2 linked regions of the Caenorhabditis elegans genome follow. The protein of the gene in region 1 purifies or fractionates together with the protein of each later gene. This does not show direct contact. Each region holds a gene or a part of one and is shown in the gene's direction. Other genes may lie near its edges.

What was found.
Region 2: the proteins of xbp-1 (region 1) and srh-87 fractionate together in Caenorhabditis elegans (co-fractionation; one large-scale study listed by BioGRID). This does not show direct contact.

Annotation. Positions count from the first base shown.
Region 1 is NC_003281.10:4,185,666-4,202,499, forward strand, and holds xbp-1 (X-box-binding protein 1), read left to right. Parts: upstream 1-8,143; 5' UTR 8,144-8,317; coding exon 8,318-8,566; intron 8,567-8,616; coding exon 8,617-9,095; intron 9,096-9,149; coding exon 9,150-9,285; 3' UTR 9,286-9,693; downstream 9,694-16,834. Other genes in the region: lars-1 (Leucine--tRNA ligase), read right to left, coding at 1-26, 485-956, 1,007-1,119; R74.2 (FIP (Fungus-Induced Protein) Related), read left to right, coding at 2,590-2,649, 2,698-3,489; ssp-28 (Saposin B-type domain-containing protein), read right to left, coding at 3,746-3,996, 4,576-4,633; dnj-16 (J domain-containing protein), read left to right, coding at 5,576-5,612, 5,883-5,977, 6,132-6,354, 6,470-6,636, 6,766-7,290, 7,353-7,493; asd-1 (RRM domain-containing protein), read left to right, coding at 11,633-11,662, 13,204-13,450, 14,320-14,459, 14,509-14,656, 14,948-15,385, 15,949-16,160; pelo-1 (Protein pelota homolog), read right to left, coding at 16,709-16,834. UniProt on the Caenorhabditis elegans protein: Required for transcriptional regulation of the unfolded protein response (UPR) in the endoplasmic reticulum (ER) under stressed conditions, acting downstream of ire-1, and also maintaining ER homeostasis via a negative feedback loop, in parallel with ER kinase pek-1.
Region 2 is NC_003283.11:2,938,792-2,955,020, reverse strand, and holds srh-87 (Serpentine Receptor, class H), read left to right. Parts: upstream 1-9,318; 5' UTR 9,319-9,338; coding exon 9,339-9,550; intron 9,551-9,600; coding exon 9,601-9,746; intron 9,747-9,895; coding exon 9,896-10,408; intron 10,409-10,457; coding exon 10,458-10,642; 3' UTR 10,643-10,644; downstream 10,645-16,229. Other genes in the region: srh-248 (Serpentine Receptor, class H), read left to right, coding at 1-617; srw-122 (G-protein coupled receptors family 1 profile domain-containing protein), read left to right, coding at 2,819-2,913, 2,960-3,551, 3,597-3,820, 4,055-4,196, 4,244-4,309; srw-137 (G-protein coupled receptors family 1 profile domain-containing protein), read left to right, coding at 11,062-11,150, 11,203-11,794, 11,842-12,065, 12,196-12,337, 12,382-12,450; srw-143 (G-protein coupled receptors family 1 profile domain-containing protein), read left to right, coding at 13,516-13,604, 13,660-14,257, 14,891-15,114, 15,178-15,319, 15,365-15,418.

The DNA of each region.
Region 1 (16,834 bases):
GTGATGAAGGAACGACGCCAATCAGCCTGAAAAATGGCAATTTTTAATTTAATAATTTCGAAATGTTTCTTTTTTAATTTTGTGATAAGTTAAATTTTTTTGAGAATTATATTATTATTAAAATGGAGAAGCAAAAATGAGGAAGTAAGGCATTTTGTTCCAATATTCATTAAATACAATTCAGGGATATAATATAGAAAAATATTTCATTTATCTGAAAATAGCTTTGATTAAGGTTGAAAAATTGGAAAAGTGCCAAAAAAATCGCCGGTAAAAACCGACCAATTATCGAAATTTTTTTACAGGTTATTTTCAACTTTTAATCACTAAAATAAAAACTATTTTCAGATAAATCAAATGTTTTTTTTCCAAATTCTATCACTAAATTTTAATCAAAAATATTGGAAAAACATAATAATTTAGTACTATTTTTACAGAACTCACTTTCAACACTTTAAGATGATTTCAACACTTTAAATCTTACCTTTAGTCCCATTTTCTTAAGATCAGCAATGCAATGTGGTGGGAAATAATATAGCCAATGATTTGGATCCGAGAATTCCTTAATTTCCTCATCACACAATCCCAGAGACTTCATAATTTGCCATTGGTATTTTGCATTTCCAGTTTTTGCCACCAATTTACTCTTCTTTCCTTTACTCTTATCCTTGATAATCTCATCGACAGCCGAAACTTCTTCTTTAACTTCCTCGACAACATCTTCCGGGAAATTTGGTGGATATCCGAAATCTTGCATTTCTCTTTTCAATTTATCTGCACATGCTTTAATTGGCATTCCAGTACAATGAAATCCGAATGGAAAGAGCACTTCTTTGCCTTGAAGACGTTGGAAACCGGCGGCAAATTCACATTTTGAAGCTGAGAATGTGTGTCCCAAATGAAGACGTCCATTCATGTATGGGAAGGGAAACGTGACGAGGTACTTTGGTTTTCCACTGAAATTTTTTAAATTGAAAATAATTCAAAATTTTCAGAAAAAACTCACTCATCCCTAGCATCCGCCTCGAAAGCCTTCTTGCTCTCCCACAGCTCCTGAATGCTCTTTTCAATTTCTTGAAGTTGAGCAACCTTCTTCCGCTCCTTATTGATTTTCGACATTGTCGATATTTGTTACCCTGATATTTAAAAATAATTAAAACCTTTAAAAAATTCTTTTAAGCAATAGATTACATCAGAAAACACAAAATGATGAAATTTACTTGGTTTCTATTTGAAAAAAATCAATAAGTGATTAGAAAGCAAACAAGTTTGTGGAAAAAAATCGATATTGAGATTTAATTGTCGATAAAAAAGTTCAAATTTTAAAGGGAACAACTTAAAATAGGCCCATTTTCTACCGTTCTAAAAATCCTGCATTATCATGGCCTAGTTTTGCAATGGCATCGACCGCGGCCACGTCAACTTTCCCAACTTTTCATAGGGGTTTCAATCACTCGGAGAAGGCGATAAAATAATACAATATTATAAAAAATGAAGAAAAATGTACTTTTCGAGTTCTCGAACAATAATTTACCAATTTATAGAAATACAATTAGTGATTTTTTCGGAGCAACAACAGAAATTGGATTTTTTCTACAATTATTAGTAATCTATAACAGGCTAAAGGTACATTAAAATAGTTTATAATAAATTTAATTATCTTTAAATTTTTTGGTATATAAAAATTCTACAACTGCTACAACATGAAACATATTGAAAAGGAATTTTTGCAATATTTCATATTCGACTGATTTCAGGAATAGGTCACACTGCACCATATTACTTGGAATTAAATTCGTAAATGCTCCGTTTTGCTCTTAACGAATCAAGTACGGTTTCTACTTTTGAATGGAATTTTGCAAAATATACTTAGTTCATAAAATTATTCCTTTTCCATATCCAATGAAGGCCAATTTATCAAGTTGGACACACACATTGGTCAGATTACAACAAGTGGGATTACACTCAACATCACTTTCTCCTTGCTATAAATACCGGCTGACAGACTTTAATAGTGACTTGAGATAGGTTCTTCGCTGGACGAACTTGACTCGATTTGTATTAATTCATCTAAATTTCTCAAAGCAGAATGTTCCGAAATCTAGATTTTAGTAAAATAGCCATATTTAACTAAATATGTTTCCATAAATCTTCTGAAATTCTCCCAATTTTTAATTGTTTTTTAACCAAAATTTTAATACCAAAAAATTTAAACATCTTCTTAATAGAAGGTACACAATAGATCATATATTTTCATAGTGATACTACTGATTAACCCAGGCAAAACATGATATATCCTAATTCGCAATATACAAAAAAAAACATTCCTTATCTCCGAAAATTTCCAGTTCTAATTTCACTTATTGCGCAACCATGGACGTCCGTCGTCTTCATCACTTTCTCACCTTGTTGTATATCACTACGCAACAAACTTATATAATTTTACCCGATATGCCAAGAACCAGATCTGTTTGAGGCAGATGATGTCCAGCTATTTGAAGGTTTTGTTACACTTCTAGTCAACCCGATTTTGGGAGTATTTAACGACGATGGAGATTGACCGATTTTAACAATCTTACACACTTCTAGATGAGGAGATCTATTATTTTTCTAGCGGCGATTTGTGGGGTCACGTTGGCTGAAAGAAAGGTGAGTTACTTTGGACAATTCGTACCTACGAATATGGATAATTTTTAGGCAAGACAGGATAATGTTGGTGACGATTATTCTGATTTTTCATCTCAACCGGTCAAGAATGCTGGTGCCAACCATAATTTGAAACAAGTAACCTACTCAACAATCGCACCGAAATTCGATATTCCAACTCGTGCACCACTTTTGAACCCAAATCCGATTGGACGCAATCAGAATCCCGTTCAAACTACCACAAAGAGGCCAGTTGTCGCCTATAGAAGAGGGTATTTCTTCCAGCATTACCCATGGGATAGGCTTCCAAGAAGATATCTTCTTCGTCCAGGAATGACATATGTATATCCACCACAGTACACATTCGCAACCTACCGTTATCCACATCTGCCATACACCGACCACTACAGTATCTACCGTACTCATCCAGGAATCGGTTCCGGCTGTGGAGGAGGTGGGTGTGGTGGCGGATATCCACAGGGTTACGGTAGCTATGCTGGTTATGGAAACAGTGGAGGATGTGGAGGTGGAAGTGGCACCGGATGCGGGGGTTATAACGATGATGAAGACGAGGATTCATATGAAGACAGCGATGAGGAGAATGGAAAGAGTGGAGAAGCAAAGATCAACAAGAAGGATCCATTGGAAGATTTGGAGCTGGAAGATTTGGAAAAACTATCAAAATCTGATGACACAAAATCTGGAACTTCTGAGGCAGTCACTTCTGATGATGTTGATGTTGAACCAACTGAGATTAAAAAATCAAAGTTAGGAGATGATGAGGACCTGATTGACGATCGAAAAAAAAAAGCAAAAAGAAACTTCCTCGTCAAGTGGGCTTAATTAACTAAGAATTTCACTATTTTTGTTAAAATTATTATTTATTTTTTGTTATTGAGGATCTCAGGGATAATTGACAATTTGCTGCAATTCGAATTCTCTGCAATATTGTAAATAAATATTTTTTCACTTTTAAAAACGGCCGACAACAATGAAAACGTATGTTTCCACTTCATATAACCACAGAAACGATATGCACGACATCAAATAAACATTTCAAATGACTTTATTACAAAATGCATTTCCTCCACTCAAAGGATTACTGTAGGTCACAGAATCGCAACGCCTGACAGACACTTGTTGATGGAATACCTTGTCGAACACGTTGAAACATTTCCTTCACATTCTCGGACACGAATTGCACACAAACAGGCTCCATGAGTCCCATTTTATCGCACTTTTTGAACATTGAATTAACTGTTGCAGTAGGTGTCATCTCTCTTTCAAGAGACTCACTGACAACTGTGCACAACATGCATGTCACCACGGAAGTTGCTTCACAACGAAGTGCTGAACAGAGTATTGTTATTAATTGGTACTGATCAAGCTTAAGCCTTTTCTAAAACTGACTGGGAAACATCTAAAACCTAGTGAATCATAAATTATCATCACCTTCCGTTCCAGGTGCCGACCTACTTTCGGTTTCAATCGTTATCTCCGATTATCTTTTGCCATCCGAAAGATAAATGCCAGTTGCATATACACAAAGAAAAGTGAAAGAACGTTCATAAAGACGATAGCTTCTCATATTTCTGGTAGGCGAGGAGAGGAAGTTTTTGAAATTGACTCTTTTGGCTTTTTTGTAGTCAAACAGAGCGTGCTGCAGCTTGTGACTCATCACAATACTTGAGCCATTTGGTTTGACACCACACTTCACAAAACCAAAGTCACAAATCATAGAAGTTGAGGGAAATCTTTCTATTCGATGGCTTTCAGATCTAGTCTTAAATAGCGACAATATTTGTTCAAAAAGAAACAGAATCGTTCGAAATTCTGATATTTATCTTAAATCAAAGCGTTATTTGGCTTTTTTTTTTAAAGATCTCTATTAACAGAAACACCACGATGACGCGTGAGTTTATAACTTACAATTGGCAACAAGAATAGTGAATAAAACTGACAAGGCTACACTTGACGGGCAGACCATCTCGGAAGACGACGAAACGGACAGAATGATCTAGAAGAGTCTCGTCTGCGGGATTTCGACTCAGCGTCGTCATCCCTTCCGGAACCTCCATATCAAATAGCACCGTTTCTCGCTTCTCCGCCTCCCCAGGCACTATTATGAGCTGTTGTGTGTGTGCAAGCTCACATCATACAAGAAATCTCGAATTCCCACTAATAATAGACAATGAGACTGATGTTTTGATTGAGTTGAGATCGTTTGATTAGTCAGAATAGACGGAAATTGGATGGACCAACAGAAAAAGAGAGGAACGCGAATCGAAAAATATAACTGTGGAAATCGGCAAAAAAAAAGAATGATAACAAAAGGGAAAAGCGCGTGGCATATTCTTCCAACAAAATATGTGTTTTTTTGGCGACCGACTGTGCAACTCTCTCATCATTTATATTCTACACAAAAATAATTCGGAATATCCAAAAACATGCATAAAGTCGCGGAAATGTTACGAATGTCAATCCGAAAACAGAATTGTGAGTTTACATGAATATATACTCAAATCTACTTGAATAATGCTGAAATGTGTATTCCAATACACTTTTTTAATCTCACAAAATTCAGTAAATAATCTCACACTGGAGAGTCAAAGAGTTCTACAGCTAAATTTCTCATTTACGAATCAAATTAGAGTTTTAAAGCGTTCCTTCGTATTAATATCAGTGTAAAAAAATAATTAAGACAAAAAATATTTCAAAAAACCAGAAAAAGCGAAAAAATGAAAAAAAAAAAAGAATGACAAAAACAAAGCGAAACTTTTTTCTCAGACTACGGTAGATCTTGTTGTGTGCAGCGTGTTTGCACAGATTGTCGACCGTACCCGGAACTTTTTTATTTGAAATATTTTCAAAAAAATATATTTTCTCTTTCCAAATTATTCACATTTTTCGATATTTTAATCGTTTCTTCATGGTTTTGCTGTTTGGAAAAAGACGTTCATCACAGGGTAAGATTTATAATTGTTTAATTCTCAGCAATTAATTTCCATGAGCAGCGAACGACTAATTGTCAAAATTGAGCGTGTTTTATATTGATTCTGTCTCTGTGCTATTCCATCTTTCCTGCCTAAAATGTATGGCTTTTCTCGTTACATTTCTCCAATACTTTCCAAAGAGACGCAGACATAAACGAATGTTTGCCCTATTGCGAAAGAAGTAAATGAATCACCCTTCCTTTTCCCTTTTTTCCACTATTTTTTATTTTTTATTTTTTGAAGCAACATCGGCGACCATGTCAAAAGCAACAACTCCAGGAGATCAACCAAAGGTTTCGGAAATGGACTTTTATCAGCTGCTTGGAGTAGAGAAAATGGTAATTAATTTTTTCGGATGACATCTGAAGGCATGCAAGAAAGCAATATTTCGTCTCCAGGAAATTTCCAGGAAACGTTTAAGATATATTTAGTATTTTAAATGAAATTAATCTCCCTATCATCGAAATTAATAGAAATTAATTCATTTTCCAGGCGTCCGAGGCAGAAATCAAATCAGCGTATCGAAAATTGGCTCTTAAATACCATCCAGATCGTAATCCAAATGATGCTCATGCTCAGGAAGAGTTCAAGAAAGTTTCAATCGCATATTCAGTTTTATCTGATCCAAATAAGCGAAGACAGTACGATGTTAGTGGTCCATCAGAAAATCAATTGGACTTTGAAGGATTTGATGTCTCCGAAATGGGAGGAGTTGGTGAGAAATTTTCAAGAATAACATTTAAAAACGTTGATTTCTCCAAGAACAACTGAAAAAGTTAACCCAGAAAATTCCAGGGACTTTTTTTTTCTAATTATATAAATAATTGCAGGTCGTGTCTTTGGAGCACTCTTCAGCAAGCTTGGAGTACCTATTCCCACACAAATTGTCCCAAAAGTTCTTGCACAGGCACGTCACATTTGTATGGGACAAGAATGTGATGTTCAGGCACGACAACTCCCTCCCGGGGAGACTGTAACTTCTTCTGTGAGCAAGCAGGTGAGAAATTTGTTGTACCATGAAATGTGAAAATTTAATATTCGAAAAATTCGGATGGATTTTAAGTTTAATTTTTTTAAAATTTAATTTTATAAATACTACTAAAACTAATATTAAAATTAATTTCAGCACGCCCACTTCTACGAAATTAACATACAGGAAGAACATCGAAAGAATGGAGTTGCTATCATTTGTAAAAGTTCATCTAGTAAATTCAAGTTAGTGTTATTCGATAAAGAAGGAGGTGTCCGAATGATCCAAGAAAGTGGGAAACGAGGAAAAGCCGGAACTCAAGCCGACATGTTCTTTGTACCGTACAATGTGGCCAATATTCAAGAATTCAATGCAATGAAATATCATTTGGAGGATAAGGAAACTCCATTGGCTTTTCATTATTTGGATAGTTTTGAGATGCAAACTGCGACACTTTTGGAGACACGGAAGCATTATATTGCAGTTTATGGTGATAATTGGATAAGCGATGTCAAATATTCAATAACCTTCCTTCCTGTGGAACCTTCTGCTGTCGAGCAACTGAATGAGATTCAGGATACGGAGAAATCGATTTCTATTATTAAAAAAGAAATGCTGGATTTCCAAAGAGAATTCACAGAAGCTAAGAGAAAATATGATGAAGCTGTGGCGAAGTTGAAGGTAAGATTACTTACTTCGGAAGCTGAAAGAATATTTGTTTTAATCAAAAATTTAATTTTCAGGTACAAGACGACACAATTCTGAAAGCGCTGGCACATCGTGAAGAGCTCTACAATGAAGTTCTCCAGAAGTCTCAAGAACCGTATAACAAGAAAGTTTCCCCATCTAAATCATCGGGTGGTCTCCTTGGATGGTTCAAATGATCCCTATCAAGATTTTTTTAAAACTATTTCACAAGAAGAATGGGTCTTTTAAATTTTTTAAATTTCACTTTCCAGAGTTAGTTTCGATATTTATTGATTGTTGATAACATTTAATTTCTCCTCTATTTTCTAATGTCGATCCATCAGATCTCTTTTTTTCTTTTTTATGGTGTAATTTAGCAAAACTTTAAGTGTTCTGTACTCAATTTCTAGATAAATTACTAGTTTTGCTCTTGATTGAAAAATATAAATAAAATATTTATGGCTAGAGTTTGATTTTAAATTTATTTTTTCTTATTAACGCTGTAAGCAGATTCGCAGCACAAATTTATTTGGCGAGCAGTATAACTTTGAGATGATTTTTTTTAGCATTTATGAAATTTTGTACTCTTTAATTGCAAATTTTCCATACTTTCATACGAAATTTCATGAGTTTCTCAATATTCCTCAATACTTCAATAGTGCTTGTTTACGAATTGATTACAATTTTGAGACAGTAATTTTTAGATTGATATGATACTTTCATTCTTATCATGTCGTTTCCGGCAAACAATCGAGTTCCAACTCAGCTCCCTCTTGACGTCATTTCCCATTGATATTTCGCAATAGACATTTTGCCAACAACAAAATGTCTCATTTCTCTCTCCGTCACACGTTTTCTCGTTGCAGGCGTGGCCGCGTTGCGGTCGCGACGCGTTTGTCGACGTTGCTTTAGCATATACCCTCACTTTCCTCATCACAACAATCGCAGAAGCAGAAGAAGTCTTTTTCTTCATAAATTCCTGGGCTTTAGCCCCATATTCGCTACACTGAAGAACTATACAATGAGCAACTATCCAAAACGTATTTATGTGCTCCCAGCACGCCACGTGGCAGCGCCACAGCCTCAGAGAATGGCTCCCAAGCGTGCACTTCCAACAGAACAAGTTGTCGCACAACTTCTTGGCGATGATATGGGACCATCTGGGCCACGCAAAAGAGAACGACTGAATCATTTGAGTCAGGAGGAGAAAATGGATCGTCGGAAACTTAAAAATCGAGTCGCAGCCCAAAATGCTAGAGACAAAAAGAAGGTTAGTGCTGAATGTTTATCGAACCCTGAAAATAAGTTTAATTCTTGTAGGAAAGATCAGCAAAGATCGAGGATGTGATGCGCGATCTGGTGGAGGAGAACCGCCGGCTCCGCGCTGAAAACGAACGTCTTCGCCGTCAAAATAAAAATCTTATGAACCAGCAGAACGAGTCCGTCATGTATATGGAAGAGAACAACGAAAACTTGATGAACAGCAATGATGCATGCATCTACCAGAACGTCGTCTACGAAGAAGAAGTCGTCGGTGAGGTTGCACCAGTTGTCGTCGTCGGAGGAGAGGATCGCCGTGCCTTTGAATCAGCAGCATTCATTAATGAGCCTCAGCAGTGGGAACAGGCCCGATCCACCTCCATCAACAACAACATCAGCAACCAACTCCGTCGTATGGATTCCAAGAAGAACAACACAATCAGTGTGGATATGTATCTAACTATCATCTCGATTCTATGCAACCACATGGATCGCAACAAGAAGATGGACACCTCGAACAAATCCTCGAACATCTCAAGGTAAGATAATTAGAAACTTCCTAATGTTTATGTATTAACTTCATAAATTTCCAGAGCCCAAGCGGAGAGTTCGATCGATTCGTTGCTGGCTACATTGAGGAAGGAGCAGACGGTTATGCAGCGTCTTGTTCAAGCGGATCCATGTACACATCTTCAGAAACGCGTGAAACACTTTCGCCGAATTCCCTAGCCATGTCCCCGTCGATGAGCAGCTCGAGCACTGACTGGGATGATGAGCTTTTGGGATGTGGAACCGAAACTGGAACTGGAACCGACGAGCTGCTTACCGACCCCGGAAACTGGAACTTTGAAACTTTCGACGAAAATTCAATCGACCTAAATTTCTTCCAAAATTAATTTATATCTGGTGTATCGTTATTGTAGTGTCCTAGTGAATTTCCCTCGTTATTATTTTCTCCCCAAAAATCTCTCCAAATTTCTCCATTTCCTCTCTGGTATTTTCTTCTTTTCCTCTTTTCCTTTTGTACAACCCCAACTTTCGTATTATTATTTACCCTTATTAAATTTCCCTCCCCCAAAGCTCATTGATTCCAATTCCCCCATTTGTATATTTAATAAAAACAGCCATACATTTTTGAGATTTGATCATTTTGTGCAGGAACTCCTTCGTTATTTGCCTGGACTACATTAAAAAGACTCGCAGCCTCTTCACATCAAGCAGTACATTTGTTTATATTATTCAAGGGAATATGGTGTGAAAATGTCTAAACAAACAATCCATCTTTCGTTCCCACCCGTACCGCCTTCTCTTCTTTTTCATAGCACAAATATACAGAGACATGCACTGATTCACACCACGTGGCCCCTACTTTCGTTTTTAGAAAATCGTATTTCTCGAAATTCAGACGATCTTTAAATTGTAGTTTTTTTTTTGTTGAATAATACTTTAGTACGATACAAAATATGTCTAAACACAAAATTCGATATAAAAGTTGTCAGATTGAAAAAGTGCTGAACTCATTGAGCTTAAGACGCTCAATCCTGGTTTAATAGCCTCTGCTCTCACTCACTTTTTCTACGACTAACCAATTAAAAAATCGATTGAATCGGTCATTCTCCGCCGCCACATGGTGCCCATCTGTCTTTTTATTTTCCATTTTTCCCCCTCACTTTCTCCTCGTTTATTTTCGCAACGCTCCAGCTCCCTATTCTCCTCCCGGTTTTTCATTTTCTCGTTTTCCATTTTTCAATTTTCTCACAATAAGGACTCACTATTTCCACTTTTTTGTTTCTCTTCAAGTGCGAGTACTAATCCCTTTCACAGGAAAAGTGGAGTTTTTGTGCTTCTTTTAAACAAAAAAGTAGATTCGAATCGATTCTTAGAGAGAAATCGGCATCGAAATGCTTCATTTTCGCAATATTTATTAAATTTATTGGATTACCTACCGCTGCGAGACCCACCTGGAAATTGTATGCATGCACCTTTGATCACTGTAATTATTTGTTTGTCTTTTCTGATTTTTCTTCCTTCTTCATCATTTTTAAGCGTGTTTTCTAGTTTTTCCTCGCTATTATGCCTAAAAAACATTGAAAAGAAATATTCGTAATTTGCACCTATTCATTCCTGATATGACAAAATATTTATCCGATCACTTCACATCAAAATTAGTTCCCGTGTCACAACAAAGAAAAGACCTTGAACACTGAGGAGAAAGAGAGAGGAAGTGAGGAAAATGAGGCAAGATGACACAAAAAAAAGACGGAAAACTATCGAAAAATAGGGTCGTTTTGAGACTGAACAACCAGTTTTGGCCCCGTTTCAAGTGTTGGTAGCTACCTCTGAAGGCAGAACTTTTTTGAAAGACTGTAGATACTGTAGATTGAAATTTGATTAAGTTTCCAATGTCTTTTACGTTATTTCAGTCCTTTCAAAATCTGTTTCTAGACTTTTTCTTCTCATAACTTCAAAAACCAATACAATTTCTTCAAAAAAATAAGTTTTTGCTCACAAAAATCTTTGCACAGGATCCAATGGCCTAGCTTTACCCAGGCCACCACATTCCTCTGTGTTACCCGCCTCCTCGTGAGCTGCTCGTTGCGCGTGTATCGCTCTTTTTCTCTAATTCTCTATCATCCTTCCTATCCATTTTTAGCGGGTTTTTTCCCGATGTTACTTCAGTTTTTCTTTACGAGTAGCTTTGGTTTGTACATTTTGTTTTAGGAATTCATTTCTAAATGTGCCCAACTGAGCGAATCTTATAATGAGACTTCCCAAAAAAATGTTCAAAATTTCGAAAAAATTGCAAAAATTCCAATTTTTACATGTCGCTGTATTTCAGCTGCTGTAAGGAAAAGTATGCTTCGAAATTTTTGAACAGTCATACAGTTTTTTTTTGAGAAACTGACTAAAAGTCTCAAATTTTCGTTCATTTGGGCACATATTTTTATTTTGAAAAATCCACATATTTTCTTGAAATCTCAATCGATTTTTTAAAGCTTTTTTCTTCCTTCAAAATCTATCTTTTCGAAAAAAAAAAGCTTTTCCAAATATTTGTTGTTCCAGATCTTCTCTACAAATGACAACGGCGGCTGAAATAATAACAGTGGTGAGTCAATATAATTTCAGGTATTTTCTTCTCCAACTAAAAAAAACAAAACATCGAGCGTTTTATTTTCTCTTCCAGCGCTCCCCTCATCTTTTCCATATTATGCACATAATTTTAACCAAAACATTGATTTTTGTGGTGTTTGCACCGGTATTATATATATTCTGAACAAGTATATATATATATTATAAGTATCTCTCATTTTTCTTCCGTGGCTAGCGGCGCATGCGGTTTTGTGGCCTTTCTTATAATTTCGATCTATATCTTTTCGCGAGTTGGGTCTCGAGTGGAAGTGCACTAGTTTTCCACTCGAGACCCAATTAGTGAATGAAATTTCAGTTTGAATAACCAATGTCTGCTCCTCTTCCAAACGCCCCTCTCTAGCTTATCATTGCCACGTGGCAAAAGACTGGAAAATATTGGAGAAATCTTTTTTTTTCGAAAAAAAAACCAATATCTGTTCCAAATAACAAATTCTCAATGGTTTTTTGTGCATGGATGATGATGATGAAATGATATACACCCACACGTACACCTACACACATACACTGGTTGAATGTATTTAGTGAAACACAGTTTTTTATTTTATTTTCTAGTTTTTAATTTCATTTTTATACTAATCAAATCACGCTAGGTGTCTAATTGTAATATGGTTAAATGGAACCTGGTATATATATATAAATATTTTGCATGTGGATTTTTAGTCAGGAAAATTGAATCTACGAAATTTGAATAAAAAGTCAATTGAACATCTGAGGCAGAATAAAATTACTTTCCCATGATAGTCTAATTTATGAAATTGCATGCAATGTTTCTCGCTTTTGTGTCCATTTAAATGGCTTTTTGGAATAAAAAACTGCTGGATTGTGAAAACCCCCTATTGAAATTTTAATATTATTGGGAGGCAGAAAAATATTCGCTTCGTTTTGGCGGCAAAATAGTTAATTCAAATGTTTGAATTAGTTTCGCCAATTTTCAAGTACTTTTTCTCTTTTTTCAATTATCGATTTAGAAAGTCTGAATTTATGGTTTTTCCGCCAAATTCCTAATAAGACCCATAGTTTGGGGGCGGAGCGTTTAAAATTGGCGTCAATTTCGAAATGGGCAATATTTGCGCCCCCATAATAAATAATTCATCTTTGAAAATTGCGAGAAATTACAGTACCCCAAATACCCTGCGTTCTTTTCGGTCGCGTCGAGACCTGGTTTTTCTCACAAGAATTTTTGAAACATATTTTTGGATGACAACTCCTATCTCTATATTTTTTTTTCTCCATAAAAAATCATAAATATTATCAGGTTCCATTTTTTAAATATACCCTAGGATTACTATATATTTCAACCAATTTTCTTTCAATCTTTCATTTCTAACCGATTTCATTTAATAATAATAATGTCTACATCTATCATCCATGTTCAACCAATCATTCAGATGACGTCATATTCCGCACGAAACAGGAGATCATTCTTCCTCATCCCCTCGTCGACAAAACCGCATGAGCTCCCTCCCCAGTGAATGACATTGCTTTTACCGTTTTCAGGAAAAATTAAACGATTTCGACTATAAAGTGGCTCTCCAGCAGCAAATGGTAGCTGCTCAAAATGGAGCTGCCGCCGCTGTGCTCCGACCACATCAAATCGGATCCTCTCCAGAGGCTCCACAATCTCAAACATCTGGAGGATCAACGGAACAGCTGCAGCAGCAACCACTACCACCACCAACTCAACAGAAGCAACAGCAGCCACTGACGATTGGACCAGTGGCTCCGAATGATCGCAGCACTAGCTGTAAGAGACTCCTAATGTTCTTCTCTATTCTTCCTACGTTTTTTAGCATTAAAAAGAGAGAGCTTATTTGATAATGCACGTCTTCGTGGAAGACTTGAGAGAGATTTGTGTTCTATTTTTTTATTAAACAAAACCAGAGAAATGCATGAAAAGTGCCCAATGATGTGTGTGCAATGAGCGAAAAAAATAAATAATTTACGGGAACTTTGAATTCGGAGAATGCGTACTGCACCACATATTTGACGAGCAAAATATCTCGTAGCGATAACTTCAGTAATTCTTTAATGACTACTGTAGCGCTGGTGTCGATTTACGGGCACGATTTCGAAATGAATTTCTGTTCAAACTGTGGGAGCGATATCAAATTATTCTATCATTTTTGTGTTCTTTTAATATTTTTTCGATTTAAAATGATTCTCGTAAATCGACACCAGCGCTACAGTATTAATTTAAAGGGTTACTGTAGTTTTCGCTACGAGATACTTTGCGCGTCAACTATCCTGCGAAATACGAATTCTCAGAATTTATTGTTCCAGGTAATAATAATTTAAAATAAATGCACACACATCATTGCGTGCTATTTTAATTGTGGATAATGTTCATATCGGTGGCAGTTATTTAATTTCAATAGTGGTTTTCTTTTTTTTCGTCTAGCCATACATATATTAACCTCTGGAATGCGTACAAGCACACTGCCCACACCCCAAGGTTGACTGCTTTTTTAGTTTTTTATTAATTTCTTCTGATTTCTCTTTTTTTTTTGAAATTTTTTTGAAAAAAAAAACAGAAGGAAATCATCAAAAAAATAATATTAAAAAAATTTTTTAGGCATTTAAATCCCAAGAACACTTTTGAAAAAATATTTTCAGCAAGTAGTACAGATGGACCACGCCGCCTACACGTCTCGAATATCCCGTTCAAATATCGTGAGCCAGATCTCACTGCGATGTTTGAAAAAGTTGGGCCCGTCGTAGATGTCGAGATTATCTTCAATGAACGGGGTTCTAAGGTTTGTTTTAAAACAACATTTTCAGAAAAAATTAATAAATAAATTCCAGGGATTTGGATTCGTGACAATGCAGAATCCAGATGATGCGGATCGTGCTCGAGCCGAGTTTAATGGAACGACGATTGAAGGGAGACGTGTTGAAGTGAATCTTGCTACTCAGAGAGTTCACAATAAAAAGGCCAAGCCTTTGATGTCAGGTAAGGAAAATAGTGTTTCGTGATTCTGGAAAAAATTGAAAATCGGAAAAAGGAGCCATCGAAATTTTTGTCCAAGTTTTCTGAACACATTAAAAAATCCAATTTTTTATGTTTACAATATTAATCGTATTTAATAAAACATACAATTTTAAAAAGAAAAAGGATCAAAATTTGGAGCTTATTTTCGAAAAATCGAAAAAATTTTGATTTTTCGATTTTTCACAAATCGAAAAATATACACCCTTGGTCCGAGATTTTCCATTTTCGAATATCAATCTCAAAATATTTCAGTTGGAGTGGACGCAATGAGTGCTCAAAATGCTCTGATATCCCAACAACAACAGATTCAACGTGCTGCTCTTCTGCAACAGCAACTTCTTGCTCAACAATTCCTTGTGCCACGTCATCAACAACTCATGATGCCACCAACTTCTGCAGCAGCCATCTCTCAACTGCAAGCTCTTCAATATCAACAGGCACTGCTCGCTGCTCAACAACAACAGCAACAAATGCAGAATCCTCAATTCCTTTTAAGTCTTCAACAACAGCAACAGGCACAAGCACAGGCTCCACCGACATCGATGGCTCAGCTTATTCAACATCAACAACAGTTTGCAATGGATCCGATGGCTCAGGCACAGGCACAAGCTGCTCAAGCACAAATGGTCACGTTGATTGCATTTGAGCAACAGAGAATGCAACTTCAAGCTGCTGCTGCCGCTGCTCAAGGTTATTTCTTCGAAAAATTGAGAAATGATTTTTTTTTGAAATAATAATTATTGAAAATTCTAATGTTTTCCAAAAATAATTGAACGTTAAAAAATCGAGAAAAAATTTGAAATAAATGAAAGGAGAAAACTATGGATTATTTATAGCTATTGATTTCGATGATAAAAATATTTACTTTTTTGTTTGAAAATTGATAAATTACAATTTTTATAATGTAAAAAACGAAAATTTTCGGTTTTTTTTTTTGAAAATCTAAAAATCTGCGAAGTTAACGTCGGGAAAAAATTAGAAAATTGTACGAAAAGGAGAAGAAAACTAGGTTTAACGAAAAAGTTGTGATTTTCGATGAGAGAACGTTTTTTTTTTAATTTTGGATTTTTCAGAGTAAACCGAAAAATCTTAAGAAATGACCCAAAGTTATTGAAAATTTGATTTTTTTTTCTAAAAATAAAAACTAAACTTTAGTTTATATTTTAATCTAACATGTTGAGAAATTACCTTAATTAACAAAAAAAAATCGGAAAACCAAAATTTTTCCAACGTTAAAAACTGAAATTTTCCAGGTCGAGGTGTTCCTCAGCCAGGGCGCATTCCAACATCAACAGCCACCACCGGATCATCACAAAATCAAGTCGCTGCAGGCTCAATTGGAGAGCAATACTTACAACAATCAATGCAAGGAGCAGTTCCAGCAAATTTCCATCATCACTCACAGGCTCTGCATCCAGCGGCTGCTGCTGCGGCTGCTCTTCAACGACGTTTTGCTCCATATTAATTTTATGTTTATATACTCACTGGATTTTCGAATAATGTAATTTTAATTCTACACAATTCTCGGAATAATCCATCACATTCCCCCATTGCCCCATCTGACGCATATTAATTCATGTGTAATTTTACATATTTTCCCAGAACATTTCCAGACAAAAAATACATTTTAATCTCTATTAAAAACTCTGATGACCCCCATCCCGTCCCCAATTTGGCTTTATTTGATATTCATAATATTCTCACGGAACTCTGTGTAATAAGTTGTTTTCTTACTAATTTTTCTAACCTTTTGAAATTGTATGCTACGGATTGTAATTCATCTTCCCTCCCTCTCTCACTCGATGCATCTCTTTTCTCAATTTTTGGTGTTGCTTTATCAATTTTTCTCTACTTTTTCTGTGCAATCTTCTTTTTTTTCTCGAACAAAAATTGTTTTAATAATTTTTATTTCAAAAAACAAAAAAAAATGTACAGAGCAATAGGGACAACGAAACAAATTCCCATTTTCAGAAAAAAAGAGAAAAAAAAACAACTAGAAATGTAGAAAAACAATCAATTTTCATCCATCGGCTCATCATCTAAATCAGGCATCGGAAATCTCAAAATAGCTGCACATCCAGTCAACTGAGCGAGTTGTTCTCCAGAAACGTGCATTGAAGAGAAAATGTGAACTTTTCC
Region 2 (16,229 bases), on another chromosome or scaffold:
TTGCACAAAATTCGATATGGAAACAGTTGCGGAGAATATTTATGCCACTGATGTGGATTCTCGTACCCTTTTATTTTTTGCCGCCATTTTTTCAAATTCCGGATCAAGAATCGGCTCGAATTCATATTCAAAAAGAAATTCCGTGTTTGAACCTAACTCTGGTGAACAATAGGAATCTATTCGTCCTGTCGTTAAATTCAAATCTTGTTGGATATTGTGCTATAATGGAAACTGTGGTTATTGTTTCTCCAATTATCCTCTTCTTTTTTCTCACACTTTATCAATTTTTCAAAATACGCGACTCTATGAAGTTCTCTTCGAAAAGCTATCAGCTTCAGAAAAGCTTTTTAATAGCCATAACTTTGCAATCACTTTTATCATTTGTTTTCATTCTTGTACCAGTTACTATTGTGCTTTATGGTTTTGTTTTCTGGTATTATAATCAAGTTCTTAACAATTTTATGAGCATCATGTTTTCACTTTTTGGCTTGGAAACGTGTGTTGTGATGATTTTAGTGCACAGACCTTACAGGGAGTATGCACTATCTCTTCTTCTGTTTTTCCGGAAACGAACCGTTAAAAAAGTGGACTGTATTTCGGTTGTGATGATTCATTAACTAGTTATAAAGGCTTTAAATTATTTTAATTGTAGTACATACTTTAATAAAATAATTCACGAGACAAAATTTTAATATAAGGTTGCAAAATTCTTATTTGAAATAATTAATTTTTTAATATTTTTGCAATGATGAGCTGGCTTTGGTCTTGGGTGCAATTTTCTTTTTCTAAAATTTGTTGAGGATGATACATGCTTGTGATAAAAATTCTCAAAATTACCGAACTGATATATCCAAATGAGAGCGTGTGCAGGGTGGTACTCCGATATTGAAAGGACATGATTAGACAAACAACAGAGAGTGGCAGCTTAAGTCAGAACACCAGGATTTAATTCAGATTTACATTCTTGCTCTGCTTCTACTTGTTCTCAATAAATCCATAACAAGTAAGCAAGAAATAATCGGAAGTAGAATACACGTAATTAACTGAAATTTCACTAATTACAAAATAATTAATCTTGAATAGTTAGATACATCCGACATAAATGAGTTGAAAAGGTAAAAATATTTTGCTAGAAATCCATTGTTTTTCAGGAAAAGTTCCGATGAAGCAATAAAATAATATGATCCTTTAGGAGCACAATGATGTTTACTCATTGTCACAGAAACGAACTGGATTTCGAAAAACTTAAAAATAGAAATTGGCAAACTTGCTGCACATATTCCAGCAATCACAATAAGCGATGCTTTTGGTTTTCCCAGCAAACTATACTTGGGGCAAAATGGATTCCGAATTATTAGTGTTCGAATCAAAGCAATAAACACGATAAGCCATGTCGAGCATCTTCTCGAGTAATCCTTCACTACAATAAACAGAGCTCGGGTTAAAACTAGACCGTAGGTATCTGTCGGGAAGCATGTGAAAATTAAATAACTTTATTGTTCCAGAAAAAGTTGAACTTCTAGTAAAAATGTCAGAATATCAAACAATGCAACTGCAGCCATTAAAATATTAATCGAAGAAGCTCTCATTGGTTTTCTTGTCAGAATAAATAAATGAAGAACATTTATGAAGATACTCAAAATTGATACTTCATAGACATATCCGGTAATGTAGAACGAGAATGTTCTATAATTCATCTTAGACTAAAACTCAAACAGTTTCTAAAAACTCACACAACATTTCGTTCGAAATTGCATAACGATTTTGCCATAGATTTCCGAAAACCACCGTAGAAACGATCGAGGTCATTGCAGTCCGCGTAAATCATATCTGTTCCCTGGCAATCAAGCTCAAATTTATAGGATTTCTGTGAAAATGAAATTAGGGTTTGCCGCGCACAATAGATCAGCCCAAATTGTTGTTTTTCTTCAAATAAAAATTGAGTATATAGTTGAGCAATTTTGCTGCGTTTTCAGTTCGAAAAACCACGAGAAAAAAAAATTTGGAAATGAAACATGAGCCGGTGGGCTTGAAGCCATTTTTCCAATTAGCAGTGATCCCACGCAAACAAGATATCGTTCTCAAAACAAAAAAAGCTTTTTTATATCAATGAAAACAACGGGTTTCTGGAGAAATGTTTTCCTTATTCAACTCATTTGATTTGTCAGATGTATGATCAATTCGCATTCAATGTTCTCTGTTGATCACAAAAATTTCAGATAATTTCGGGTATACTGCTCCCAATTGTAACATTATTACTTATTATGAATTTGTGGAAAACCGCTAAAAAGAGGGCAAATATTGTGTCTGTAAGTAAAAAAATTAATTCTCGGAGCAAAACTGAATAAGTGTTTTGCATAACAATCTTTTTTTTTTCATTGTTGAATTTTCTCATTATAAAGTGTAACATTTGTCTAATTGAAACTTCAGAAAGTAATTATTGCGAGCAGGAATATTGTTACTTGGTCATCTCTGTCAAAAACCCTACGATAAGTAAACTATAAGTCATAACTTTTCGAAAAAGAAATTAATTTTAAAAAACACTAATTTTCCCATTCACCAATCATGACCACATTATTCTGATTCACTTTCTACCAATTTTCACAATTTCTTATGCTAATCTAATTTGTAAATCTGAATTAAATCCTGGTGTTCTGACTTAAGCTGCCACTCTCTGATAAGTCGTTCAGAAATTTATTGAACATTTTTTTGTCATTTTTCGTGATATTTTTGTTTTTGGCATAACTTATTCTTTTATTATTTTTTAACTCTTTAAAAATTTTTTTTCAATTTTTAACTTCTTATCAGGATTAACAAGATGTATATATCGGATTGCACTGATCTTGAATTCTACTACGAAGGAATTCAAAAATCGACGGCAAAATCACTTTGCAAATTCGAGAAAACATTTTAGTAAGTTACCCGTATTTGAAAGTTATCTAAAAACTAAACACTTAAGTCCATTTTCTGACAAACTTCTTGCCCATGTGAACGAAATATCAATATCAAGTATTTTGATAAATCTAGTTCACTTTTTCATTCTCACAAGGAAACCAATGAGAACATCTTCAATTAATATATTAATGGCGGCAGTTGCATTTTTCGATATTTTTACCTCTTTGCTACCAATTGAAGTATTATTTGAGCGGTATAAGGACATATTTTTTGAATGCTTGTCCTTAGACACATATGGTTTAGTTCTAACTAAAGCATTGCTCACTGTAGTGAAGGATTACTCAAGAAGATGCTCAACATGGCTCATATTTTTTATTGCCTTTATTCGAACACTAATAATCCAGAATCCATTAAGCTCAAAGTATGAGGCACTCGGCAAACCTAAAGCATCAATTATTGTGATTACTGGTATTTGTGTAGCAACGTTCCCAATTTCAATGTTTAAATTCCTTGAAAATGAATTTATTGAGAGCCTGCCTCGTGATTCCTGTGCTCCAAACAAAACTTATATTGTTAACGTTTTGTCTGAACTTTTTATGAAAAACGACGGCGTCATAATGGAATATTTTTATTTGTTCAACTCGTCTATTTCAGATGTTGGGTCACTCAAAATTACCACTTTAATAAAACTTAATTTCCAGATAGTTCCTTGCATTTTGCTTCTGATCGTTACATGCCTACTTGTATGGAACTTATTCAAAACCAGTAAAAAGAAAGCAAAAATGTCATCTGTACCAAACAATAGGAATTCTCGTGGAAAAACTGGACTAGTGTTATGCGTAGCAATTATGTTTTTCATAGTCCAGTTTCCATATGGACTAAGCGTGGGTAGTGCGGGGATCTTCATACTTGCACCCGGTGCACAGTAAGTGACCAATTGACAATAAGATATTTTATCTAACTAGGGCTTTTATGGAAGGTAGGCGTGGTTTCACGTCCTGACGCCTGCCTGAAGCCTGGCCGCCTCTCGCCATTCTTTCTCCGGGGCCGGCATTTTCTGTTTCTATTCCGCAGTATATAGGAGGCGCGAGGCGAGGCAGGCGAAGGTGGCAGGGAGTCGAGTACTAGAGGCATCCCTATTTCTGGACTGAGTTTTCAGCAACATGCTTAATCAATTTGGATATATTTTCTCTATGTTAATAACATTGAACACATGCACTCATCTCTTTGTTTGTCTATTTATGTCCTCCCAGTATCGAAGTACAACTATTCACGTCTTCACCTGTGGATGTATCTACCCTGTAATGCAAAAAATTGTTTTCAGAACCATTGAAATTCGAATTTTCAGAAAACAAGAATGTCAAGCGGAACTCGAATCATTTCATCGCCGTTAAACAATTTTAAGCAGCTTTGAAAATACATAAACGTCAGAATGCTCTCAAAAAATATTTTCTCCTTATTTCTCAGAATAAAGTTTTTTTCGGGAAAACGTCTCAAATCATTCGCGTGATCGCAAAAATTCAAAAAATAACATTAGACACGAAAAAAAGTTTCTGGAGCAAGTATTCAATAACTTATTTTAATGAAAAATGGCTTTTGAAACTCCGAGCCGCTATAAAACATTTTGAGAAACTTTCAAATGTTCCCATTAATTGTAAAAAATTTATCCAAAACGAAAAATTTTAGATTTTTCAAAATTTCCGGTCAAAATTTTGGCACATTGCCGAAGTTTTGAAAAATAAGAGCTTTTGAGGAAATTCAAAGCAATGACGCATGTTCCGACCCCTACTATGTTTTAATTCGAATAACTAAAATAAAACTACAGTATAAAAAATGTAGGAAAATTTTTTGGACAACTTCCAAAATTACGAGTGGCAAAAAGTGATTAATTGTCACTTTTTGACGGTAAATAAAAAATTTTCCAATATTTTTTGAAAAGTTTTATTACGATTTTCGGTTATTTCGGCACCATATGAGTAGTTTTCAACACTTTCCACACTGGTGCTACTCTACCTTGAACGTTTTTTGAGTACAAGATAATATATTTGATCATTTCTAGCCAATAAAATATTGGCTACTTTGTAAATTCGCTTTTCAAGCTAAACGGTCTGCTTGATGAACAATAAGAAATATCAAAACATCATTACTTATATATAAAAAAATATTGTGGGTCTGTCCATAGTTTGTAGTCTGTGACGTCACACTTTTCAGAGACAATGTGTTTCAGGCATTTGAAGTTATTATGGGTTGGGGTTAGTATGGGGATATGGTCGGGGTACTGTAGTAGTACTGTAGAGGTACTGTAGGGTTACTGTAGGATTACTGTAGTTTGGGAAAAATTGACTTTTCGTCTTTTGAAGGGATATTGGTTTTAGGTTAGTGGTGGGATATGGTCGGGGTACTGTAGTAGTACTGTAGAGGTAATGTAGGGTTACTGTAGGATTACTGTAGTTTGGGAAAAATTGACTTTTCGTCTTTTGAAGGGATATTGGTTTTAGGTTAATGGTGGGATATGGTCGGGGTACTGTAGTAGTACTGTAGAGGTAATGTAGGGTTACTGTAGGATTACTGTAGTTTGGGAAAAATTGACTTTTCGTCTTTTGAAGGGATATTGGTTTTAGGTTAATGGTGGGATATGGTCGCGGTACTGTAGTAGTACTGTAGAGGTACTGTAGGGTTACTGTAGGATTACTGTAGTTTGGGGAAAATTGACTTTTCGTCTTTTGAAGGGATATCGGTTTTAGGTTAGTGGTGGGATATTGTCGGGGTACTGTAGTAGTACTGTAGAGGTACTGTAGGGTTACTGTAGGATTACTGTAGTTTGGGAAAAATTGACTTTTCGTCTGTTGAAAGGATATTAGAAAAATCGTATTGTTCTACAACCTTCAGTAAATTTTGAGAAAATGCTGGAATGTTCTAGAACCTTCTGGAAAGTTTTGGAATATTCTGGAATATTCTAGAACCTTCAAGAAAATTCGAGAAAATTCTGGGATGTTCTAGAACTTTCTGGAAAAATCGGGAGAGTTCGAGACATTTCACGAAATTTCTGGAAAATTCTAGACTGTTCCAGAACATTCTGGAAAATTTGAGAGAATTACTGTAGAAGTAATGTAGGATTACTGTAGGATTACTGTAGTTTGGAAAAATTGATTTTTCACCTTTTGAAGGGATATTGGTTTGAGGTTAGTGGAAGGTTATGGTCGGGGTACTGTAATATTGCTGTAGGGATTCTCAAATTCAAGAAAAAGTGAGTTTTTGTCTTTTGACCTTCCTTGAAACTTTTACAACTTTCTAGAAAATTCAGGAAAATTCTAGAGTAAAGCCTAGAAAAATCAGAAAACGTTCAGAAGTTCTAAAAAAATCTAGAAAATTTAGTAAGCTACTAGAACTTTGTTGAAGGTCCGCAAAACCCCAGAATAAAAAATCCAACTTTACAAAAGTCTTAGTACTTGACAATTTTTTAAAATAATTTAGCGTACGCCAGTCGGAGCACGCGCTGTGCGCGTGCGAACGGCTGGTAACTCAATATTCAGCTTTAAAAAGAGTTAGAAAATTTTTCCAGACAACTATTATTGAATTTCTTTAAATTAGTGAGTAATTCATTTTTATTGTAATTTGTTTGAGTATGATATCAAGTCTTTATTATTATTTCTTTTATTATTAAAGTGTAACTAAATAAACCAAATTAAGAAAAACAACCAATCAAACTTTAGGACACTGCTTTAATTGTTGATGAAGCTTTTCTAGAATTGTTTTGAGATACACCAACTACACTTGACTTTTTATCTTGAAATGCTAAATGTCCACAGAATAAGATACCAATTGCAGTTTGCCGATATTGATGTGACATACAAAGACATACAACAAAATGGGACATTGTGTTCAACTTTAATAAAAGTGACAGCATGAACCCGATCTGTTGTAGGATTTGCCTGAAATTTTAGATATGTTTTTATACGTGATAAAAAATTAAATTATCAAACTGACCATATACCGGGAACATGTACAAAATAGTAGCCAACTACAGAGTTTACACTGTATGGAAAACCGGAAACGAAGAACATAACTGTCATGTATAACACCAATCGAGATGTTTTTCGAGAATCCGAAGTCTTGGCCGAAGAAGAGGATGATATTTTTCTTCTGTTTTCATCAGCTTTTTTGATTTCTCGAATTAAAAATATTGTGACTATCGGAAAAAGCAGACAAGGACTAATCTGAATTTTTTTAAAAATTGGTTTTGCTTTAACATTAAAAAAAAAGAAATCACTTTGGAAATAAGAGAATTGAGCGTCTCCAGAAATTCTATAAGTACTTTGTTATGCCGGTAAAACTTGGAGATAACCATAACATATTGTTTTCCATTTATAACTCGAACACATTCGTACAAAAAGTCCATTTCAACTATTTCGTATTTCAAAAAGCCTAAAACGGTGAATGGCATGTTGAACAGAACTGTTACAATTATAAAATAAATCGAAAATTTTGAATGTGCCAATTTCTCATACTTTGGATTTAGAGGGTTACGGATTACCAATGTTCGAATGAGAGCAATAAAAAAGCATAGCCATGTAGAGCATTTTTGCGAAAAATCTTTGAATTCCGTTTTGCATATTTCCATGAACGCTTCAGAGTATGAAGGTGGTTGTGAGCAGCGATGAAACGAGCTGATAAATTCCGAAATGAAACGCTCGAAAGTTGGAAACAATGTGAATATGTCAAAAATTGCAACCGCAGCCATAATGAGATTTATGGAAGAGTTCCGCATAGCAGCACTGGTGAGAATTATGATATGGAAGGTATTAATCACTAAACTAGCAAATGATATTGTATACTCTTGGTGCATTATGATCGGAACGAATTCTCTGAAATTATTTGAAATATGGCTAAACGTGAAAAGGTGGTGCAGTCGAAATTGTTGTATCGCTTTATTAGACTCAAAATTGTTGGTAAACGCCGAATTTCATGATGAAACTTCTTGAAATCTTCTCAAAAAAATTATGGCGGCTCAAAAATGACATAACATTAGTCAGAATTTGAATTTTGACCGACTTGCCAATGTCGCAGCGGTTGGAAACTCTAATTAAGGGCGTTCAAATTAATTATCTTGCGTTTTTTAATCGATTTAGGTACATTTAAGGTTGATGATTACCAGATTTGGTAAAATTTGGTCACTTTTAAAACTATATTTTCAAAAGGTATATTTGTAATTTTGAACACATACTCCAAATTAAATAAAAAGTTGCACCAAAAAAGCGCTGACGATTTTGTATATTTTACTGACAGTGAGAGGTGATCAAGCAACCAGAACACGCCTAGAACTAAATTCCACCTTCCGTCGAGATACAGGAAATGTGAGTATTGCAATTTTATTGAATTAATCTAGCGCGGTAAAAATCAGAGATAGACTAGATCAGATTTACAAAATTAAGTTTAACAAAAATTTAATTTCTCTGGGCTCAAAAACACTGACTCAAAAACAAAACCCAACAAATGAGGCGTTCAGGTAATTTTCACAGGATGCAGTAGTAGTAATGTGCTACGGAAATAATTAGAAATCAAGAAGTGCTACTTGAAAAATTATTGGATATTTGGAGCCAATTGAATACCTATTGAATTTCTAAAAAATTATTGAATACATAACCAAAATTTAAAAAAAAATCAAGTATAAAAATTGAAAAAAAATTGTCAATTTTAATATATGTATACTGTTCCAACGCGATATATTAAATTCAACTTTTGAAAACATCGGGTCGGCTATTTGCACCACTGGACACGAACCGAGCCAAAATGCCAGCCGCGCCCGCCTTGCGGCTACCTCCGCCTGCCTCGCGCCGCCTGCATGTAGTGCGGCGCGGAACCTGAAAAGTGTCGGCCGCGGAGATAAAACCACCTTACACACTATGTGGTACAGAAATGAGGCGAGAGGCCTGCGGGCAGGTCGGCAGCAGGCTTGAGGCCCTACCGCGCCTGCCTCCCATGGAATCCCTACCGTTTTTTTTTACGATTAACACGCGGTAGATTTTTTTTGTATAACTGTTATGTTATTGATTCTGGATTTGTGTTTCTATCGAATTTGGCGAACGTATTCTGAAGTATTACGTATTCGGCAATTTCACTTCAAAACTTACAGCTTGTAAAACATTTTTCCTTTTCCTCGTTTTTGGAGTAATTATGAAAATAAATTGAAGTAATTATGAAAATATGAGTATATTGCTTTTGTAGGTTGGAAACAGAGGGTATTTGATGTTTCACAATGACCGTGCTTCCTCATTTACTCCACTAGGTTCTTAGTTGTCTTTATTTTTGTTGAGATAACCAACTGAGTCATCCTGTTCTCAGAAAACTTTTGTCATTTTTTGTTTATAGAAAACAACTGTCATATCGACCAAAAAACTGGGTTTATTCACTTCACAGTTTTTTTTTGTGAAAATCGTGTGAGCATGTCTAGTCTCCGTGAGTATTACTTAACAAACTATACAACATGTCCAAGATGCGATACGTTTTTGTGCTCTTGGCAAGACTTTTCTTACACTTCCCATTTTTTGACTGCATTTTCACTTCCAGTTTATCTTTTTGGAGGTTACTGTATCCTATACAAAAGCCCAAAGGAAATGTCAACCTATCGAATTCCGCTTTTCAATTTCCATGTTTGGTAAGTATACACATCACAAACATTGACTGTGCACATGTAGAAATATTCAGGACGTGTCTGGCGGATGTGTTTTTGAATTGCCTCGGGACACCATATATATTTCTTCCAACTCTCACGGGATTTTCAGTTGGCTTGTTGAACTTTTTGGGTGTCCCACCGAAAATTCAGGCTTGGCTGGCATTTCAGAGTCTGAATTGTAAGTTTAGGTATCCGGAAGTGTAGCAATCTGGAAGCTGGAACAGTTCCCATCAGATACATTTTAAAAATCCGCAGCCGACATTGAGCGAGATCGCGTCAGACCACACAGCGCGCAATCAATTTCACAAAATCAAAAAATTGTTTCAGTCATGTTATTATCTACAACAATATTGGTAGAAAATCGGAATAACGCAATTCCATTCAACAAGTTCAAAATAACTCGGAAAAGTACGAAAACTATTTACTATCTAACAAAACTACTGATTGGAGTATTTTACGCAGCATCATTCACATTTTTCATACCAGCAAACCAGGAAGAAGCACTCTTTAAAGTTCTCAGACGGCTTCCATGTCCTTCTCAAGACTTTTTCACGGCTTCCAATATTTTTGTATTGTGCATCGATGATTATCATATTCATTTTTTAATTGCCTTCACAGTATTAGGAGTTGTGGTAGAAGTGATTCAAATTTTGTTTTACTTGACATGTTGTGTCTACTATTTGTTTTTCTCGATTCGTTCGTTTACTTCAAAGACCACGAGAAAGTTGCAAATTAAATTTTTGGCAAGCATACTTCTACAAATTTCAATTCCTGTTTTGTTCATGTTACCGACCGCTTTTTATATTTGGTTTGCTGTTGATTTTAATTATTATAATCAAGGTTCGGAATAAATTTGTGGGTAAATTTAAACAAAAAACCAATTTTCCAGCATTAACCAATTTGTCAATTCTTCATGCTTCAATTCATGGCTTAATATCTACAGTCGCTGTACTCATTATACATCATCCTTATCGGCAGTTCGTTTTGTCATATTTCTGGAAATCTAAACCAAAACAACCCTTGAAAAATATCGATATAGATTCTGTGGTAATTACTCAAATTGTTATCAAATAATTTTTTCATAAAAGGAGTTTTTTTAATAAACTATGTTTTTTTACAAACCTTACCTTTTTTCCTACAAATCAACAAAGCCGAAGAGCAGTAGAATGCTCAAATATCACAACAGGGATGTGCTGAAATCGGAAATTTTTGACAACTTTGGCCATTGCTGGAGCAATTGCCACCCGGCCATGCTTCAAAGTGATGTCTGAACGTAGCCTGAAAATTAAGGGATAATTATCATTTCTGCAGCTTCCGTCTTCGATTTAATAATATATTTTTCTGAGACAATTCCCTTTTTTTAGTTCCAGCTTTTGAGTAAAATATTCGTTCTTCAATTCCTTCCGCAATAAATCAAAAAAAAAAATTAAATTTCTGGAGGCTTTCTGTTTTTCCATTCCTTTTGATATCAAAAAGTTTTTAGTTTTACAACAATGATTAGTGACAAATATCTTCAAATTGATTTTCCGGGCTTTGAGCATTCTACTGCTCGTCGGCTATACCGAATCGAAAGATATCTGGCGTAAGTGTCATATAAATCAAAAGAAAGGTATTTCAAGATCAGAGAGTTTCAGAGTTTTCACAGAGAAAGTTCTGTCATATGAGTCTATCATTTCAATTACTTGTATTTTGGTAAACATTTTACATTCTGCAATTCTGACAAGAAAATCTATGAGAAACTCCTCCATAAATATCATTATGACTGCAGTGGCTATTTTAGACATTTGCACATTTTTTTCAGAACTCAAGAAAATCGTCGAGCGATTTCTCCGAGATTATTACGATTGTTTTCAAAGTGAAACATATACTTTTGTAATAATCGAAACTTCGTTTCAAGTCCTCCAAGACTATTCCCGGCGGTGTTCAACGTGGCTTTGCTTTCTCATCGCGCTTATTCGAACACTAGTCATCAGAAATCCTCTGAACCAAAGCTACCAGAAATTAGCCGGTCCTGCCCTCTCTGGTTTTGCAATTCTCGGAATATTATTTTTGAGTCTTCCGATTTCAGTGGTCTTTTCTCTGGAATATGAACTAATGAAAAGTTCTGTGCCATCATTTTGTAATTCAACTGAAACAACTTACTACACAGTTATATCTGATATGTTTGCGGATAATGATGGGTATTATTTGAAAATATTTTCAATTGTTAACGGGCTCGTTTCAAATGTAATTTCTTTTCGTTAGGCCTAACTACAGGGTTTTCTAAATTCCAGATAATTCCCTGCGTGCTCTTCCCGATAGTAACTTTCCTATTGGTCGTCGAGCTCTGGAAATCGGATAAAAAGCGAAAAAATCTTTCTTCCACTGCAAATGTAAATGACTCTAGAAAAACTACTAGACTGGTATTCTACATATCTATTACGTTTTTTATCGCCGAATTTCCGCTTGGAATAACATTGGGTGCAACTTGGTTTTTTCTCGATGTTCCTGGAATGAAGTGAGTTGATCATTGCCTGAGTGACGCCACTAAGGCATCGAGGAACTCCGTTTTTGATGCAACCAGCGAAATGTCGGCCGCGCGATAAATATCTTTTATTAAATTTTAACCGGGTTGTTTTATGATTTAGATCAATAATGAGTTACTTCTACTACAATTTTTCCTTGCTCCTGTCTGCAAATACAGCTACCCACTGCATAGTTTGCTTCTTCATGTCATCTCAATATCGGATTGCTGCAAAGCAAGTAGTGTCCTGTGGATATTTGACTCAGGTTCGGGTATGTTTCAGGCTTGATGCAACATTTTGTAGATTTAGAAAAACAAAGCAACTGTGATTCAAGTCACTCACACTAGTTCTGCAAGGCGACAAGTTTTTAAAAAGTGAGGTTGACAAAATGCCGAGGACGAGTGGAAATTGCTACAATTGTATGTTAATTTACTATGATTTGTATAGCTTTTCATTCAAGTGTTTTAAGAATAAATATTTTTTTCACTATCGGTAGAACATCTTGTTTTGATCTAGCTGGTTAGAGATGAATCAAAGAGATTTCTAACACATCTATGTTTTTTTTTCTTGAAGCTAATTAATTTTTCTCGAATTTTTTCTTTTGATTCATAATAACACGACGAAAAACATTGTCTTGTGTTTTTATCAGCTCCGCGCTTTGTTCAAAATATCAGAGAAAACCCGTTTCACATACATAGGTATATTCAAAAACTTTCAAATTATTCCAAAAGCTTGGGCCAAAAATTTCTGATTTTCAACTAAATTGGTGAAAATATTTAATTTAACTGTGCATTCCTGACTCACAAAAACAAAATTTCAACTATCCCCACTACACTCTGAGAAATTAAAAAAACCGGACGGCTTACATCCGGCATTAAATGTGGTGTAGTCAAATTTTTTTGTTGTTTTATTAGACTCAAAATTGTCTGAAAACACCGAATTTCATAATGAAACTTCCTGAAAACTTCTCAAAAAAAAAAGCTATGACGGCTCAAAAAAATACCTAAAATTAGTTAAAATTTGAAATTTGACTGACTTGTCAATGTTGCAGCACCTGGAGACTAAAAACTTTTTTGAAATCACAGTCTAATTTTGAGTATGTAGTGTTAATTTTTCATTTTTTTAAATCAAATCTCCCGTCCATCAACTTTAAAAAGCCTTAATCGAGTTGAAAACTCAAGATATTTAACTAGTATACCCAATTTTGGTGATATACGGTGATTTCAAAACAGTCAGCTTCAAGCTGCTGACAAGTCAAATTTCAAACTTTAACCAGTTTTAAGCTATTTTTTGAGCCGTCATAACTTTTTTTTGAGAAGTTTTCAAGAAATTTCATTATGAAATTCGGTCGTTTCAGAGTCTAATAAAGCAATAAAAAAATTCGACTACACCACCTTTTAAACAAAAATTGGATTTTTGGATTGCAACCCTAACAGAAACAAAATGTCGACATGCAATGCCTACCAAAGAAACTATCCAGGATATGATAACGCCACAGCAATTTTTCTATGCCAATTTGAGGCTCGACTTTTGTGAGTTTAAGCTCTGGCAAATATTTATGGTTAGATGAATTTGCTTCATTTTCAGTAAGATATCAGGACACGTTTTTAACTATGAACATTATCTCTCCATTGCAAGCATTTTCATAAACATTTTTCATTTTTTGATTCTCATCCGAAAGCCTTTACGGAGTTCATCTATCAATATTATCATGGCTTTTATTTCAATTTTCGATATATGCTCAATGCTCTTCAGAATGAAACAATCATATGGTCCATCGATAGAATACATATTTGATCCATGCATGCAGTCAAAGTGGTATTTCAACGTATATTTGGAGAAAATCCTTCTAGTTGTCAAAGATCATTCCCAACGATCTTCGACATGGCTCCTATTCTCGATTGCACTGATTAGAACGTTGGTCATACGAAATCCTATGAATCCAAAATACGAAAGACTTGCACACCCACCAACATCATTATTTACAATGATTTGTATAAATTTGATCTTCGGCCCAATTTCAATAGCCACCTTTTTCGGGTCTGATATAACGTCACAAAACCACACATCTTCGTGTGATCCGGATGGAGTACTTTTTTATTATCTGGACATATCTGCGTCTTACAAACAGAATGATGGCATGATTCTGAAAATATATACTTTAATCAATTCAGTGGTCTCTACGGTTAGTTTGAATTAGGAAAAAGGTCAACAAAAACGTTTAAAAAATTGATATTTGTGTTGTGCCAGTGGGAAAACTTTTAAAAACCACTCCTACGGTGCCAAAATTTATACTGCGTTTTCGTCTTTTTTTAAAAAACTGCAGCACTGTTGCGACCCCTTCAATGTTTGAATATTAGTAATTGAAACATAAGCTGACCATAAGAATAAAAAAAAATTTCTTGATCGACAACTTTCAAAAAGATTGCAAAAACTTAGTAAAACCACTTTTTGCAACTTCATAAAAATATAAACAAGTTTTACTATAATATCAGGTCATGCGTGGTGTCAAGATGTCCCATTACGTTTGATCTACAAAAAATGCGAGAATTTTCCGTCCAGAAAAATGTGACGTCAGCACAATCCTAACCAGAAAATCTATATCTTGAATTGAAAATGCGTGAATAGTATTCCGTGATATGCGTGTGCGAGAGCCCCCAAGACAAGAGAAATGCGGGCGCGAGTGGTCCTTCGCTGACTTTGTTCGATGTCGGCTGCGCAATTTCCAGAAACTAAAGTTCAGTTGCTCGGAGCTCTACGGTCAAACGCCTGTTAGAAGACACCCAGCTCCCCAATATAACATTAATCCCCGTTACAGATAATACCTTGTTTCATCTTTCCAATTGTGACTGTATTTCTTGTGAAAGAACTTTGGAAAGCCGAAGCGAATAGAAAACGATTATTCTCTTCAAAAAAAGTGAACGACTCCTCGAAAAACACTCAACTGGTTTTATTCTTGACGTGCGTGTTCTTCATCGCCCAATTTCCCATTGGAATTTCCATCGGTGCTTCTTACTTTTTTTCAGAAACTCCCGGATTCATGTAAGTAAATTTTTTTAATCTGCAGATTAGCTTGAGCGAAAATTCAGATTTTATCATTTCCAGGATAATTTTGCACGAAATTTCGTATATATTCAGTGTAATTCTGGTGGCCAATACCTTTTCACACTTTTTTATATGCATTTTTATGTCTTCACAGTATCGCGCGGAACTTAAAAAATCCATATACTGCAGAACAAAAGCTAAAGTGATTTCGAAGTTGAACATCTGAAAGTTAAATCTGAAAATTCAGGTTCTACAGATGAACGGGGATTGTTTGGCTACTGGTATAGTAATGACGAAATAGAGGCTTGACAATTGTTTATCATGATACATCCTTCAACTCGCAATTAATTTTGTTCATATTCACACTAAACTTGTTCCAAAATCATTACTAGTGTTTCAACGATTGACGTCGGCTCCAAAACTTTATGAAGGTTTTTTTTTCAAAAGTGAATGAAAAAATCATGTTGTGTATCACCCCACATTTCCTTATTTTACTCATTTTTATTGATTTGTGTATTTACGATTTAGTTATCGTGTTTGGAAAATTGTAATTATATTCAAACAACTACCACTGAGCGCCTCCAAACCACCTTTAAATATAAATTTCGATCTCTGTTTCTTATTTCTTTTCAAAAACTCCTGAAATCGGGTCAGTAGCAATTTTATATTCTTGAGTAAAATCTCAAACGTTGTTTCAGGATAATACTTTATGACATTTCATTTGTTTCTTCAATAATTCTCGTTGCCAAAAACAATATCTCATTTTTTCATATGCATTCTTATGTCGTCACAGTATAGCATGGAAGTTAAAAAAAGGTGTTTTTTTGCGGACAAAAACCAGAAGTAGATTTACAGGCAAACTTTTGATTTGGAATTTTAAGTTTCAGGTACAACAGATGATTGGAGTCAGTATGAACACTCGAGTTAGGCCGGCACATTAGTTCAATAGTTTTCTGAATTTCAGTATAAATGTTTTCTATAATTTCACTAAGCTTTTGAACATGTTTTTTTTGTCAATTTTGTGGTTTGTTTGTCGTATTAGGTATTATGTGAGTAACAATATTTTTAATTAATTAAGACCTAACTTTTCTCAAATTTCCTTTTCAAGACAC